Drosophila melanogaster: one gene and its partners. Changing the gene in region 1 together with any one later gene gives a genetic interaction. Each region holds a gene or a part of one and is shown on either strand. Other genes may lie near its edges.

Region 1 (5,267 bases):
ACTCAGGATCATAAAAACTTAGCGCCTCCGTTAGGTGAGCAAATTTCTGAGTCATTGCAATCCCATCCAGCATGAAGTTTCCACGCATACGTGACATTATCGCACAAAAGCAGATGTAGGCCTGTGCCTCGTCGTTCATGGTAACCAGTAGCGGGGAAGCAATGTCCGACATGCCTTGACAATATGAGACCGATGGATGGTTTAGTGCATATGTGGTGAGGATATTGAAAAGCGCAGCGATGTTCTGATTGTCGTCGCTGCCTGCATAAAATGGATGCAGGCGGTCCGTGCGGAGAACATCCTTCTTTACCATGCTCGTTACGTAAGCCAGTTCTCCAGCCACACTGCCTCGCTTCACGGCCGCTTTCCATGTGTCTCTCAGACGACAGTACTGCTCAGACTTTCGTCGCATGAATTCCATACGCTGGTGTCCATCAAGTGCCAGTCCGTTAGCGCCACCGGGATAAACGTTAAGCAGATGTTTCCACACAACGCGCCGCAGACTGGGGTCAATGCCTCCTAGGAAGATGACCCTATGCAACTCGTCCTTGCGTTGAATCTGACCAAGTGCGTCCAGAAAGAGCCGGAACTCGCTGTCGCACATGGGCGGCCGTGGCGGTAGATTGGCCATATGCTCCTCGGATAAGTTAAACGCTTTCTGCACTATGGAGAAGGTTTTCTCCATCTGATTCAGAATGGAGCTGCCCAGTTTGGTCTGCATGTGCTGGACATATTTCTGGGAGACTCCTAAGGACTGCAGTGGTGACATAAGCTCGCGGGCGGGTACAAAAGGTGCAGGAGTTGCGGGAGCAGGCGCTCCCGTTATGGATCTACCCGGGGAGGCCTCGGTCTCACACTCCCTGACCACCGTAAATGGCTTCACATCGATCTGCAGGGTGAGGCAGGGTTCTGAGGCCGTCTGAATGGAAATGTTGTGAATCCTCAGAAAGGCGGCATCCAGATCCCAGTCGGAGCGCACGGCCAGGTAGATCTCGTTGCCCGCCGGATCAAAGGCCTTGTACTTAATGGAGAAGTCCGACTTGACATCGAAGGCCTTGGCCAGCAGGGAGTACAACACCTCCAGCGTGGTGATCTGCGGGTCCACTGAAAACTTTCGCCACTCCGGCCGAGCAGTGGGTTCGCATTTCTGTGGGCGATTTCAAAAAAATTAGATTGAGGAACACAAACTAAGCAGCCCTTTTGTTGTCTCGCCTTCTGGCCACCTTTCACTTGCCTTCACTTTCACCCGAACCGCCTCCCGGGGGCAAATGCCAGCCATGTTTTCCGAGTCTGTTCTGGTCGACGACTAACTAAGTTCCATTGTACCTCTGAGCGATGTCAGTATCGTAAGTATTGCTCAAATATAAAACAATACAAAAGAAGGAAACTGAAATCAATCGACTTGATTTCAATCATCGGTTTCAGTGTGGCCGCCCTAGGGCTTTGTAAGTTCACCAGGGCTACATTAAAATACCAAATCACTAAATACACAAAACAAAAATTTTTAAAATTAAAAAAAATTAACAAATTGTTGAACGTACGAGGAGAATATATCAGCTACATTGTTTGCTAAATTAATATGAATAATAAATGAATATAAGAAAATAAATCTTTTTCAATTTTGAATTGCAAAAGTAATAACTTATTGGCCAAAAAATCACGATATCCCCGCCAGTCACCGTTTTTCATCTGATAAATTCAGTATTTTTGGTATTTATCCTCCGCATTCTTTGCATTTTTTAGCGTATTTTCTGGAATTCCCGAAGATCTTGTTCCGCTCTGCGCTAACGGGCACATTGCTTCGTGTATGTGTATATAAATACAAGAAGATTAGTGCAAAATTGTTGTTGTTAGTTATAGTTTTTTGGCCGCCGTGTGCTAGCAAATGCATTTTATGCCCCGGCCCGCGCACTTTGGCACTACATGTTAACGGATTTCAGGCTGGCGTGGAACGAATTGGGCTGGAAAGCGGTGCGTAACGGCGGTCGTCGGAGACTTGGGTGTGTATACATGTGTATGTGTGTTACGGGCGTGTTTGTGACGTAGGCAAGCAGCAGCGAGAGAGCGAGCGAAATTCCGTAGAATCCGAAAACCATCCGATATCGTTGCTCCCAAGCCGGCTTTACTGGGTCGTCGAGGGGTGCGGTGGCTGTTCAGGGGGCGGGGGTGGAGCGGTCGGATCCACCCGCCCATTCAGTGGAGCCAGCGATAAGCCCGCAATTGAGATAACTCTGCCTCAATTTGCGAGACACTATAGTGTGTTTATCTGTCCAATTGTACTTCCTATGTGTAAGCATGTGTGCGTGTGTTTGTGTGTGCGACTGTGTGCTGCAAGCTCTTCACTGATAAATTCTGCCTCTCCACTTTTTTCTCGCTTTTTAGCAACGAGCTGATGACAATGTAAGTGAAATTATTATGCAAAATAATGGTCTTAGCTTCCGCCGTCGTACAAGCTCTATATGGCCACCAAATTGCCTGTGCCCGCCGTATGTGTACATATGTAGCTACATTTGTATGTTCATATATCACTTACGCGCCTTCGCGCGACGGCGTTCTTATATCATAAATTGATATGTTAACTGCAAACTGTATTACAATGGCCCTATTATCTGGAAATTCACTGACCCTGCCCTGAATCTCGCCCAGCTATTCTTATCGATATGCTTATTTGGAAGACCTCGCCAACTCTACTCGAACTGTTTTTCAGATTGGCTAAGGTTTAATGGATGACACATCAGCACCATGGGAAAGTTACTATCAAAAATTTTCGGCAACAAGGAAATGCGAATTCTCATGCTCGGACTGGACGCGGCTGGAAAAACAAGTAAGCACATAAACAATAAAGGGTTCTCGAATTCGATTGTGGGCCTGATTAGTACCCATTAGTTTCATCAGTTTCCTAAGTGGAAACCAATCCCATTTAAAAAATACTCTTGAGGCGAGGCAATTATTGTTTTGTTTTTATTCTTATTGTACTTTGAAAAAATGTACAATATAAAGACCTTTCAATACGTACACCAGTACTATCACTAATCGAATTCGAGCTATTTTGTTTATACATCCTTTGCGTGTCTAAAGTAATATTGTTTTTGTCCACCCACAGCGATTCTGTACAAACTGAAACTTGGCCAATCTGTTACAACGATACCCACTGTGGGCTTTAATGTGGAAACCGTCACCTATAAGAATGTCAAGTTCAATGTGTGGGACGTCGGTGGGCAGGATAAGATTCGACCGCTATGGCGACACTATTACACGGGTACACAGGGTCTGATCTTCGTCGTGGATTGTGCGGATCGGGATCGGATAGACGAGGCGCGCACGGAGCTGCATAGGATAATTAACGATAGGGAGATGCGCGACGCCATCATACTGATATTTGCTAACAAGCAGGATCTGCCTGATGGTTAGTATAGTGCTCAGCCAATTGTTTCCATCCGCTTATTGTTCTCTCTTGCAGCAATGAAACCCCATGAAATCCAGGAAAAACTAGGTTTAACTAGAATAAGAGATCGCAATTGGTATGTACAACCATCATGTGCCACATCCGGCGATGGCCTGTCCGAGGGCCTCATTTGGTTAACGTCGAACCATAAGTTATGAGAATCGTAATCGAGCATTTTCTTATATGTATGTATATGGCATGTATTATTCGAAGCGAAGCAAAAGCGAAAATATTCTATTTTATTTATACAAAGAAAACCAACCGCAAGCGCATAGTAAAAACTCAATTCGTAAAAACGAACGTACATAAATTACAAATGTTAAAAATGGTATATAGAAGTCAGATATATATAGTAATTATATATACTCTCAATTAACCAACCAATATTCTCACTAGTAAAAATACACATACCTACAAAATAAAAGAAGCATCAAAATAAGCAGCCGGTAAATATCCGTAAAGTAAATTATGCGTGAAGCACAGAGACATAAAGCAAAACATCAACGGAGATTAGCCTTAAGTAAGTTTTTCTTGTAAATTATATTGATGAGACACGTAAGCAATAAGTTGAAAGCTTGTTTATTGCAACTGTTACTATATTTGACTTGAGCAAGGGTGTAACGAGTCTTAAATAAATTGTAAATAAATATTCAAATTAAAGCCCATATACAACAACAAACGAAATAAAAGAAAACACCGAACAAACAATTGAACAAACCTATAGATTGCTATTTAGATTAAAACTGAGTCTTCAAAATATAATGAAATAGTAACTGTGCCTTCCTCAATGTGTGTCTATGATCCCTCATTATTTTCCCCACTCCAACAGCTAATTTTCTCAATCTGATATCCTTCGAGACGAAGAAGGTCCCTGGATTTGCGAGAAAGGCATATTCTGACTTCAGTGTCAAACGCATTTGGTTTGTATTGTGCGCTCAATTTGAAAGGTAAACATGCCACATTCAGTGCCATAATTTGCAGGGTAAATGAGCCTGGGTATACCTGAGCATGATTTGTTCAACACGGCGTTCAATAATTTACCTTTGTTTTGCAATCATCCCCGAATTGTCCGAAAAACTCCTTGGTACATCCTTGCATGAATAATATAATTTATTTTTTGTGGGTGTATGTCTTGTTTTATACCTTTACCGTTTTTATCAAAACCAACCTATTCATAATACCCCGTAATATCTCAGTATCTAAGATTTTTGTTGCTGAATTATAATTATAAATTTTAAGTTATGAAACAAATCATAGGTTTCAAAGTTATTTTCTGTAAATATGTTTTTGTATTATTATTGTATTATAATAATAAAAATATATAATAATTAGTAGAGTCACGTTTTACAGATGAAAAGGTTGTGATGAAGATGACGAGTTCCCAAATAAACGTCATCTAGCGATCCACGAAGTGACGAAGCGCTTATTGCCAAGATAATCTTGTTAATATTCTCACATGAAGTGACACATCCTATGAAATTTGTATGTAGAATTAAACGATTCCGACTTAATAAAGTGTATATATTGTTAATATATATATTATTAGTCAGGATCAATAGCCGAGTCAATCTTTTCTGTGTGCAGAATCCCAGAGTGTAGTATTTCCTTGGTTTTGCGTCTCCTCAAGATGCGTGTTTGTTCTTTCCTTCGTTTGCGAGTTATCTCCAGGATCCGTGGTCTCCTTAATATTTGGTTCACGAAAACAGCAGGTATATGTTGGAAAAAACTATTTATTTTTTGTTTACGATTTTAAGACGATTAAGAAATTGGGGTATTAGAAGCGCCCATGATGTCCTCCATGGTGTCTGTGGTGTTCGCCAAA
Region 2 (6,426 bases), on another chromosome or scaffold:
AATTCGATCCCATCCGCACCCACTTCCTTCTGCCCGCACTTTCTTACTTTCTTACTTTCGTATAGTTCTCGGTTTGGCATTTCTATGGACTCTCGACTATCTTATCAGCTGGGCTTGTGTGTTTGAGTGTTTGTGCAAAAACAACGGCAAACAGATTTCTTTATAAGCAAAAAATAACGTTATTGGCGAGATTTCCGACTTTTGGCAAGATTGTTGAGATATCCGAAATATTTGATATTATTGGATTTTGAATGTATATATAATCCTTATATGAATATACCATTCCTTTATTTACTGCTTAAAACATCAATCTCTCTGCCTTGTATTATTTGCAACTATTTTATGTTCTGAGGTAAAACAATAATTCGAGTATGAACCAATTTTATCCTTATCAACTATAGAAAATAGAAAGCAAACCAAAACAAAACCAAACCAAACCCAAAAAGAAATAAATAAATCAACCGAAGCGAGGCAATACAAAGTGCTCACAAAGTACGTTGAGACTATAATGAGCTGAATTCACGATTCTTATCAGCTGCAATCAGTTTATTTTTAATCATAATAATGCCTTAAGCACGATAGTTCTTTAAAATATTTACTTGGACTTGGAAAATAGAATTTGTAAAAGTTGAATCTCTAACATATTTACATAGCAGTGTGCCAGAGTGCAAAGCAATTTTGCATTGGCTTTTGATTGAATAACATTGATTTTCTGTTCTATTGCTCTGAAATCTTTATCTTCGCCTTGTTGACGAATCGCACTCGATTCGAATTTATTTCGATCGAAAGAGCTCTCGACGCTGGCGATGATGTGGATGTGAATGTGGATGTGGATGCTGATGCTGATGGCTCCCTTGCCAATGTTTTGGCCACTCCGCCCAATATCACGCCTTCAATCCCCAAACATTCTTTTCGCTCACATGCGGTTGCTTTTCCATACCCAAAAAAAGTTCAACCGGTATTTGTGCATAGTTCTTTGACTAAAGTACACGTACTAATACATTATACACACATTAAAAGATCAAAGCGAGCTAGAATATTTTCATTGTTTATGCTTATATAATGAAGGATAGGATATCCTATTATTTGGCATGAAAATGTGTATATTTTAATTTGTTTTCCCATTTGCAGAGCAGTTTAAAAGCTATTAACTGAGAATTGTTTTTCACTATTCTCTCATCATAGTGCATCGATTTCTGAGCAAAATTATATTAGTTTATTTGTTTATAGTGAACGAATTGTAATATTATAGCTGATAGACTCGAGTTTAGAGTTCGCAAAAAATGCGGATTATACGGCGTATGTGCAAGCCGGAAAACTTGGCTTCTGGATTGTTCTAGTGTTTTGGCTTTTCTTTGCTATCTCATCTCTCCCAAAAGAGAGGGAGAGAGTGCTCTTGGGTTCTCGCGAGAGAACTTCGGCTGGCCTCGTGGCACTGACCGCCGACCAATCAGAGAGCAGCTTGGCCACTTCGTGAGCACCTTCGTTTCGCTGTCGTTGCATAATGGCCAAGAGGCGACAAGTGTTGGCCCAAACCGAGTCCGAGCAGCAGCGAAACGCTGGCCCACAGGGAAAACAAGGGAAAAGCACGAAAAATTCGGGCGCGGAATGTAAGAGCGCTTACAGCAGAGCACAGCAGCGCACAGCGACCGCGACTGAGCGCCATTGCGGTGGTAGTGGTAGCGGAGCTGCGTCGTTCGGCACTCTTCGGCTCTCTCTCTTCGGCTGGCGCTCAGCTGTTCGAATTGGCGGCAGAGCGCCAGTGCTGCGCTACCTTTCGAACCGCTTACAACGCGTCGCCGCAACGCGGACGCTCTAAAAAGTAAAAAAAAAGTGTAAAACAGTAATACGCAGTGCAACGCCACAGCAGCCGGATAAAAACAACAACAAAAACTGCGCATGTAAAGCTGTGTTTATATTACTTGTTTTTTTTTTTACGGTGTCTCGCTGTTTTTGCTTTCGTCGCAGACAACAAAAGTGGCAAAGTTTTCGCCACGGCATTGCTCATACGCCCCGTCTCTTGCAAATTCGCTCACACTCACACGCGCGCCAATACCAGCGCACATTCACATATATACAAGTGTACGCGCGCGTTTTTCAGTGTGTTTCGTTTCGTTTTTTTTTTCTGTTTCTGTTGGTGACATGCAAAAAGCAACAAAAAAATAATAATAAATACATATAACGAAAACGATTAGTTCGGCGTTTTCTCGTAAAAGTGGGCACCAAAATGCATCAGCCCAGGTGGAAATCAAAACAAAAACAAACCGAAAAATAAATAAATCATTTATTATTTAAACATCGCAAAGTAAGCTTCTCCTCGCACACAAACACACACAAACTCGCGCGCTCATAGACTGGCTCACATACACACTAGCATACACATCTCACTCACACGCAGATGGAGCAACAAGTTTGCGTGCCACAAAATTTCCATTCGGCAATTTTTTGCGATTCTGTTTGTTTTTATTTTCATTTTTTTTTTTTAGCCTGATAGTTGTTGAGAACAAGCCAGCTTTATCTTGTTGTTATTTTACTCGAAAATAATGTAGATGTACATACAGCTTGTCAAGTTTTTAATGCAATTGCTTGGGTCTAGATCGTTTATATATTTTTATTGTACATCTATCACGTTGGTAAACAATAAAAATTACGCTTGTAAACCTAAACAAATTTGATTTGGAACGAAAATACTTGACAAACTGTATTAAAATTTTAATTAAAATTTAAACTACGTTTCGGTTATTCCATGAACTTCATTTCAAATCGAATTGAAATGTGTTTTTCCACTGCGGTTTTTCAACTGCAATTAGGGCTTTGAAAATTGATAATCAGAAACCACAGACCAAATTCATATGGATTAAATATGCAATGGAACAATATTAACAAGTGACCTAAAATAGATTCCGAAAAAGCCCATATTGTTTCCACCAGTTTTCCTTCTTAGATCACAGTTCCTATAAATAACTCTCTTAGCAAAGGAGTGCATGAATCAGTAGATATGAGTGAGTCGTAAATATTTTATAATATCACGAGGAGATAGTTGGCTAATCTTGAATGAGATCACTAAGAGATCCTTTATATTATTTTTTCACATAGGATGCCATATGTCATTTGCTTGATTCAGGATGTTCAGTACTTTTGATTCATTTAATTTCAAGTTTGACAATGATATGTATCATCTATTTACTTGATTAGCGATCAAATCTGTTTTCCATCTTGCGCAGCGGTTCCGTTTGATACTCTATACATATCCGATATCCTTTCATGAATGCCAATGTGTGTGCGTGATTAAATCCGCACCATGTGGACGCTCGGAACATTTGGTATATGTGCATACATACATATATATCTGCTTAGATCCTTGATCCCACATTGTTCGCGGTCCTTGTCTTCGTATTCTTCGGTTGACGCTAAGTACAACGCCAAAGTATCGTCCTTCTGTCGAGGACGCTGTTGTTGTTGCTGTTGTTGCTGTTGTTGCTGCAGCACACACCTTTGCACTTTAATTTCTGGCGTCTTGTTTAGCATCTGCGCCGGGTGTTATTTAAAAATAAAAGAGGAAGAAGAACGAGCCAGGATGAATGGTAGGGATGGGATGGTATGGAATGGTATGGGGAGGGACTCGAGAGAGCGGGTATATGTGAAGTCGACTGGCGACGGCGGCGGCGGCAGCAGCAGCGGTTTTAATGTCAATAAGACGCGGCGGCTATTGCCAGTCACTCACACCATCGATCGCCCCCTCTCGCTCGCACACTTATACACGGCCACACGGCGTGTGTGTGCACGCGGTCAGGACGTGCACACACACACTTGCGAAGCAACAGTGCCGTCCCATATCCTTCGGCTTGTTTATCCTTATTTTCTCTCAATTTCATGCTTCCTGCTCCCCTGCCGACTTGCCTCCACCTAAACCCTCTCTCTCTCTCTCCCTCTCTCACACTGAAAGAAAAGGAGCAGCCTTTTGAATCTGTAGTTCTTAATCCTTTTCATCTGCAACAGATGTCACTGCCTAACATTTTTATCTGCGCGTTTTATCTGGATCCTGTAAAAAGGAAGCTATGGTTATGCTTGCTGAAAGGTATTTTCGCCAGTGTACATACTTAGCCACCAATCGTCTCTGGCTCATTATTGTTATTACGTATACGGTAGTAAGGGTAGAAAAAGGAGTAAATATACAACTAAGGCGTTTTCGTATGCGATTTCCGAATCATCCGTTATTATTAATGGGTAAATAAAAATTCGTCTCTTAGTAGATGAGTATCTTAACGTATTGCATTGGGGAAATAACTAAAATAGTAGCGTATCTATTAAAGCACATAAAAACATTAATGAGCACTAAAGTAACCGTTAGTTATTTGACAATTTGCCTGCCTGAATGACCAAATCTGCCGTTGGTATTGTATTGTTTTTCCGAGTCCGAAAAGCTTGCAATCATGGCTTTTGCGCACTTAGGATGTGCGCACCCCTTCCGAAGACTTCCACACACACGCGGACGCACATCAGCTGGTTAATAACAATACACACACACACACACACACACACACCGATGTGTGGAACTTGTTCTGCCTGCCACGCAATTTCAAACGGCCTTGAACGGCATTTGATAGTTGCTTTCGTCGTCGGTTTTGGCACTGCCCTAGACCTGCATGCCATGCCAAGCCATGCCATCTATGGGAACCCAATCCATACCACATATCAGTACATGTACATATATGTACACACATACATACATACATATATATATATCGTATGCAGCCACTCGTGCAGCTGTTGTCAAAATAAGGGTTCGTACTGGACTATTTCAATTAGTCGCTCAGAAAAGGGGTATATTGTCTTTGGGAAAACGCGTGCAACAGGTAAAGGGGTGTGTTTGTGGCATTATAATAGACGAGTTTCTGATCAGTAGCAACAGCTTTGTAATATATATGAAATATATGTATGTATTATGTATGCTTCAATGCTTCACAATTGTTGGTGCATATGCAGTACAGGATATAATTGAGGTATGTGTACATACATATGTACATACGTACATAGAAAGGATGTTAAAGCTGATAGGTTCCTTTCATCCGTTCGATTGGACTTTTCTGCATATTAGACGATATGATCTATACACTTATGTATATTACTTAATAATTAAAAGGAGAGGACGGCACTACGTTTAACTTGAACACAGGTGCACAACATACAGACGTTCATATATCCATATGTATATATGTGTACGTACCATGGATTTTGTCCAAAATTTGCATTTTGCAGCTGCACAACAACAGTTGAAAGCGATTCAAGTCAAGTCCGAGTCAAGTCGAGTCGAATGAAATTGATTCGATTGGCAACTCATAAATAAACATGAGCTGGGGAGATCGTTAAACGAACATGCTTGCTGCACCGCCCCTCTCCGTCCCACAAAAGATTCGCATTCTCCTAAAACCCATACAATCTATACAAACCATAAAGAATCGACCTAACTGTGGCAATATTGTAAATGCAATTAACTGTAGTTCTCTGCCGCCGCGCTGCGCAATTGAATGTCGGCCATTGGATAATCGAGGGGTTTGGGGAACTGGGACCACCATATAGGGGCAGTTAGCACGCGTCAACTCTATATAGCTATAAAACACGGCAAAGATACAAATACGGCAGTATTATCTATTCGAATCTTACTATTGGGATTCAGCGGGATACCAGAAGAAAGCATTGCTTTTGCAATCAAAAATCACCAAAAGTATAAAAATACTATCATAACTAGCCATGCGGATCTTACAAATCCAACGCTTGAACCATTGACCATTATTTTCTTACGTCGGATAAATTTGTTTTCAAAAAAAAAAAAAAAAAAGACTTCGTACCATCTTGTTTTAATATGTGACAGGAAGTTTGGTTTTAAATGTGCGGATTAGATTAGATACACGGTCATATCCCTTATCTATTTCACTTGAATTATTGTAATAAGTTATCTGTTGATATACTCGGAATTTCACTTAAGATGTGAACTTTACGTTGTGTTCTTTTACAATCGATCGAACGATCATAGATGAAATGTGATGATTAGCGGGCCCATAAAAGCGTTCTTTCTGAAGAAACTGCTCAAACTCGATCCATTTGCTTTGCCTAGAATGTTTTAAACAAATAACTGACTATGCGGCTAGGAGATCAAAACGAGTTTTTAGGTTAGTAAGCATTCAGAAATACTATCGCAGCAATCGCTCCATGGGCTTTGACTTTATGGGCTTTGAGCGAGTGAATAAATAAGTTCCGTTTGTTTTATATATATATAAATATTTTTTTTTTTTGCATTGCGGATCACTTTGATTAATTTATTCTATGGAAATTTCTTTCGATCATTTTTGCGATTAGTCTTCGCATTCTTCTCCCTCGTCTTCTGGTCTTCTGGTAGCGCCTACTCGTCTTCTACAACGCCCACAC
Region 3 (4,732 bases), on another chromosome or scaffold:
ACTCGAGTGAATTGAATAACTTGTAATCTTCGATTACTCACTATTATTTTTTGAGAAACACCCCAAAAACGACCTTAGTTCTCGCAGTGTAATCACTGAGAAAAGTCAATGGGCTTGAACTCTTTAAGTGATGCCACTACCCTCATTTTCTTTCTTTCTGTCTCTTTCCCTCCCGCTTCCGACTGCAATCAGCGATATTCATTATCTCAGCCAAAGTCGCTGCACTCTGCACTCAGTTTTCCTCCAAACCATCGGCTTTGCCTTCAAAACACAATTCTTTGGCTTGACTTTTTTTAAATCTGGGAATTTAAAGGATGAATTTTTCGAATCTAATTGCAAACAGCTTTTAATAATATGACCCTGTTATCGTGAATTTCTTTACCATTTCTTCTAATATTTACATATATTAGCTATTTTGATAAAATATTATTGGAACCCATTGCTGTATTCAATATATGTGTAACTAGACCCAATATCTCTGTATATTTCACGCCCAAAAAGATCCAGAGCACTTATCACTAATCAGTTTAGAGCTCTAAAATGAATTGTTTGTTTGCCCTAAAACATTTGATGCTTAAATGCAAATAATGTTTAAAGTAAAAAAAACCCCAATGCATTTCATCTGACTAGAATTCCACAGTGCTGCTTCTGCTTTTGAGCTTTGTTTTTCGTTGATATACGGAGATGAGTCACTAACCGATCCACCAAACCATGTCGGTCCTCTCGTAACCCCCGTCCTTATCCCTCGGACTCAAAATGATGGCCATGACTGGGTGAAGAGAGCGGAGAGGGGCGAGAAACCCCAGAGAAAACCCCGGAGAAACAGAAACAGGTTGGCGGCCAGTCGAGAATTGTGTAACGATCGTCGACTTCCTCACCTACGCCTCACAGGTGCCGCCAGGTAGATGGAATGTGGAACATGGTGTGTGGAATATGGAATGTGCTCAGTTCACACTGGCAAAAAATAGTAGCCACTGATTTTGGGAATTTAAAATATTACAAGAATTCTACAATTCCTTCTTACTGAAAAACCAAAACGGAAATATGCAAAATTTCATTTTACATATATTAATATATGTATATTCTATCTTTTTTTTTCAAGTGCACAGTTATCCCGAACGGAAGGCGAGAGTGAGCCTAATGGAGTTAAGGTGCCAAGAAACGAGGGTCCGTGCATTAATCTTTCGATCGGCGTAAGTGGGGAAATCATGTTTATCTCGATGGTAGATCTTGAAATCTTCTTCGGGGGCTTCGTATTATTCGTAATTCTTTGATCTAGGATCGCCGCCATTAATCATAATCGGCTTGGGGCGGAAAGGGGAAACCGGTTAGGGGTTTTAGGTGCTTAAAACATGTTTCGCATTCTCCAACACCACCAATTGTTGTTACAGCGTCATTTAAATAAAACTGATTCAAATCCAGTCGAGAGTAGCCTACCACCATATTTCAAAATACAACAGATTTGGATCGTTAGGTACCACAAATGTTGGTTGGTTGGTAGGTAAAAGCGTTTTCACGGTGTTGTTAATCATACTTTGGTCTAGAATCAGGGTCAATGGTCAATGGTTGTCTTGTTTGCTTGGACAATAACCTGTATTATTAATTTTCAATTCTTTATAATCATGTTTGGGTTGTCCTTTAAAAGATAATTTTACAGAACATTCTATAAGATATTCATTTCTCTGATAAAAAACACACAAATTATACAGAAACCGAATTTATTTAAATAGAAAATCTTGATTAATTACTTGCGTGATATATTAACAATCCGAGAAATAATTTAACAAAGAGCCATACACTTAATTGTTCCAAACTATTTGAATTTTAATAGCAAACAAAAGGCTTGTGGAATTCTTCATAACTGATTGACTGTGTTTTCACTAATATAATTGTTGTGGTCTCATTAGGAGCATTTCTCTGAACTAATTAGCTTTCTACAAAATAAACAATTCTTAAATTGAATCCCTAGGGTCTGAAGGTTCTGAAGCATAGTTATTAATAAATAAGTGAATAAACTATTTAGAAGCCTGACATCACTGGGCTTGTTGTTCATTTTGGAAATTTTGAAAGTATATATTTCAAATCCTTCATGACTTAAGAAATGCTTGCGATTCACTTTAAAGTGTTAAAATTTCATTAATAAAATGTTTTTATGTACTGATACGAATCACCAAAATGCAGCAATAGCATAGAAAAAATATATTGATACCGAATTCATATACTTTTTTAAAAATTTTCATTCAGAAAATCCGTTTCGTTATAAATAGCTATAAAAATAGCTGTAGCACAACCAATTGAATATTATATTTTTTAATATGATTATGATATATATTTTGTTGAACCCAATTAACTAAGTTTAACTTCAAACACTGGCAAAATACACAGTTTATAGTTTGATTCCTCAAATACAAAAAAAACAAAACCGCAAAACTTTGGTTTTTCGGGCGCCTTGGTGATAAACTTGCATACTTTTGGGCATTCGATCGAGACCTTCTTGACCCCGTCAATAAAACCTGTCCAAATTGTGCAGCCCCCAAGGAGACAGCAATGCAATCAGTGTGGATTGTGGGTAATCCGCTGATTTGCCTATGCCGATGATTCATCGCCGTTCATTTTCAGATGGCGCGACAAATGAATAAATGACGATGAATGCCATTGTAAAAGCAATATACTGTAATTCACAAGAAACACATGAGCACACACACCCATATTATGGGCGAAAGGAAGGAACAAATAAAACGGGATTGGTCCCGTTATCTCGCAGCGCTTATCTCACTTTCTCTCCAATTTCCCCAAATGCACTGTTTTATTATTAAAACTATTGTAGATCGATCGAGGCACTTGGTGGGCTTCAATACCGAAACCCGAGCACCAAAACAAAAAGCACCGATTTTGGCCAGCACTGATAAGCCGAGCTTTAAATGGGAGCATTACGAAATTGGGCTTGAGGTGGGGCTCTCCATCAAATCGGGAGCTGCAGGCGCGACGCGTTCGCGAATTTAACAGAATATCAACTGAAATTGAACTCAAGATGCCGCCGAGAATTTTCTTGGGTGGCGGTCCGCCTCGTAAGCGATTGACGTCGCAGTCGCCGCGCAGTCGCAGTCGCAGTCGCAGTCGACGCCACGAGTCGGTGGCGGTGGCTATGGCTATGGCGATGCCGACCTCCGGTCACCCAGGGAACTCGAGCACTCCACACTAGTCAGCAAAAGTGGGCACTAACCCCCAAAGCCCGCAACAAAATTTTGTTGCTTCCGATGAAAAAGCAAGTTGGGAATTATAAGCGGGTAATTTCAAATATTTCAGATATTCAAATGAAATATAATACATATATTACAGGATATATCAGTATTTTTAAAAACTATAAATGCTAACTATATATGCCAGCCTTACAAAATTATATCATCAATAAGTTTCTTTAGAATAAAACTTTTTAAATTAATATAAGATTCAATAGAAATTCTTGCCTTGTCTAATACATTTCTTACAGTTATTTACTTTTATAGGCAAAGTCTATGGATCATTATTATGACCATGACTATGGACCATTATGAGCTGTGATTCATCATCGGTGAAACTATGACTCATGTCAACCGAGCTTGAAACTATCCTTCGTACCCATGTCATGCTGACCAGTGTGGGCCAGAGATCAGTGATGGGGAGGCAAAAGCCCAGAACAGAACAGAACAGCGCAGAGCAGAACAAACCTAAAACTGAACTGAAACCGAACCACATGTGTGTAATGGAACATGGGCAACATGTGTGGCTCTGTCTGGCTGTGCGCCACCACATTCACGAATGTGCGTGTGTGTGTAAGGGTTGGGGGTGGCATGGGCTAATGAGGGGGTGAGAGGGTAAGGGTGGGGCGTGGCAGCGACAAAAGACGCTTTTTATACTCAACGCCCGTTGCCTAATTAAGCATATCGAGTGCGGTCCCTGAAGGAGGGTGGTAAAGGGGGGGGGGGTGCTGTCGAGGGTTGGGAGTTTGTTTTTCAGTTCGGCTGAGTTGGGAGTAGGGGGTGCAAAAAAAGGGGGGGGCTGGGGTCGGTTCTGGGACCGCAGAGGGGGCGGTGCTGGGCGGGTGGATCGAGCTGTGTAAGTAACCATGATGAATGCTAAACACTGTTCAATTTATGCACAACAGTTGCGTAAACCGATTACGATATGCATATACATATGTACATACATACTTTTGCTCAACACTTTATTGCAAGCAATTCCGATATGAAAATGAGAACTGCACTTTCAGCACGAACCGTAAGCTCTCTTATTTCTTATTGAATTTTGAAACCAATCCTCATAATCCTGTTCCTCATAATACTGCTCGCAATCATGTTTTGAAGATCCATATAGTACACGACCGATATTTACAAAAATCGGAATCCATATAAAACAGAACCGGGAGCAAATAGAGAAAGAAAAGATGAGGATGCATCTTTGGGGAAAAAACAACAATTCCGGGGAAGAGACTTAAAAAATAGGCGAATGAGAGTGAGACTGAGAATGAAAATAAAAATAAAAATGAAAATGAAAATAAAAATGAAAATGAGCAGAGGCCGGCGAAGAATCGCATTGCAGCCGATGTTCAGCAATATGGTCGCTTGATCTTTGAACTAAATTAATTAAGCACAATGAACACAATTGTTGTTGTTGGCTTCGCTGCCGACGGCATCAAATGTATCCACCAGATACGAATACAAATACAAATACAGATGCGGATACAAAACAACAA

Evidence for each region. Genes that interact genetically often act in the same process or in processes that back each other up.
Region 2: of Arf6 (region 1) and amn, changing one enhances a phenotype caused by changing the other (phenotypic enhancement), as found in Drosophila melanogaster (one study listed by BioGRID).
Region 3: of Arf6 (region 1) and RhoGAP18B, changing one suppresses a phenotype caused by changing the other (phenotypic suppression), as found in Drosophila melanogaster (2 studies listed by BioGRID).

What each region holds. Positions count from the first base shown.
Region 1 is NT_033778.4:15,320,742-15,326,008, forward strand, and holds Arf6 (ADP ribosylation factor 6), read left to right. Parts: upstream 1-1,759; 5' UTR 1,760-1,971; exon of another isoform or gene 1,972-2,000; intron 2,001-2,061; exon of another isoform or gene 2,062-2,289; intron 2,290-2,382; 5' UTR 2,383-2,400; intron 2,401-2,707; 5' UTR 2,708-2,742; coding exon 2,743-2,824; intron 2,825-3,103; coding exon 3,104-3,406; intron 3,407-3,460; coding exon 3,461-3,603; 3' UTR 3,604-4,749; downstream 4,750-5,267. Other genes in the region: CG8155 (uncharacterized protein), read right to left, coding at 1-1,147, 1,235-1,279; CG8157 (uncharacterized protein), read right to left, coding at 5,220-5,267. UniProt on the Drosophila melanogaster protein: GTP-binding protein involved in protein trafficking; may modulate vesicle budding and uncoating within the Golgi apparatus. Promotes cell movement and remodeling of the actin cytoskeleton during compound eye morphogenesis.
Region 2 is NC_004354.4:19,885,592-19,892,017, forward strand, and holds amn (amnesiac), read right to left. Parts: upstream 4,470-6,426; 5' UTR 1,902-4,469; coding exon 1,359-1,901; 3' UTR 517-1,358; downstream 1-516. UniProt on the Drosophila melanogaster protein: Required for associative learning and memory in adults. Expression pattern suggests a modulatory role in memory formation. Controls neurotransmitter-mediated signaling pathways associated with the structure of the larval peripheral nerve.
Region 3 is NC_004354.4:19,155,186-19,159,917, forward strand, and holds the start of RhoGAP18B (Rho GTPase activating protein at 18B), read right to left. Parts: upstream 3,017-4,732; 5' UTR 2,935-3,016; intron 1-2,934.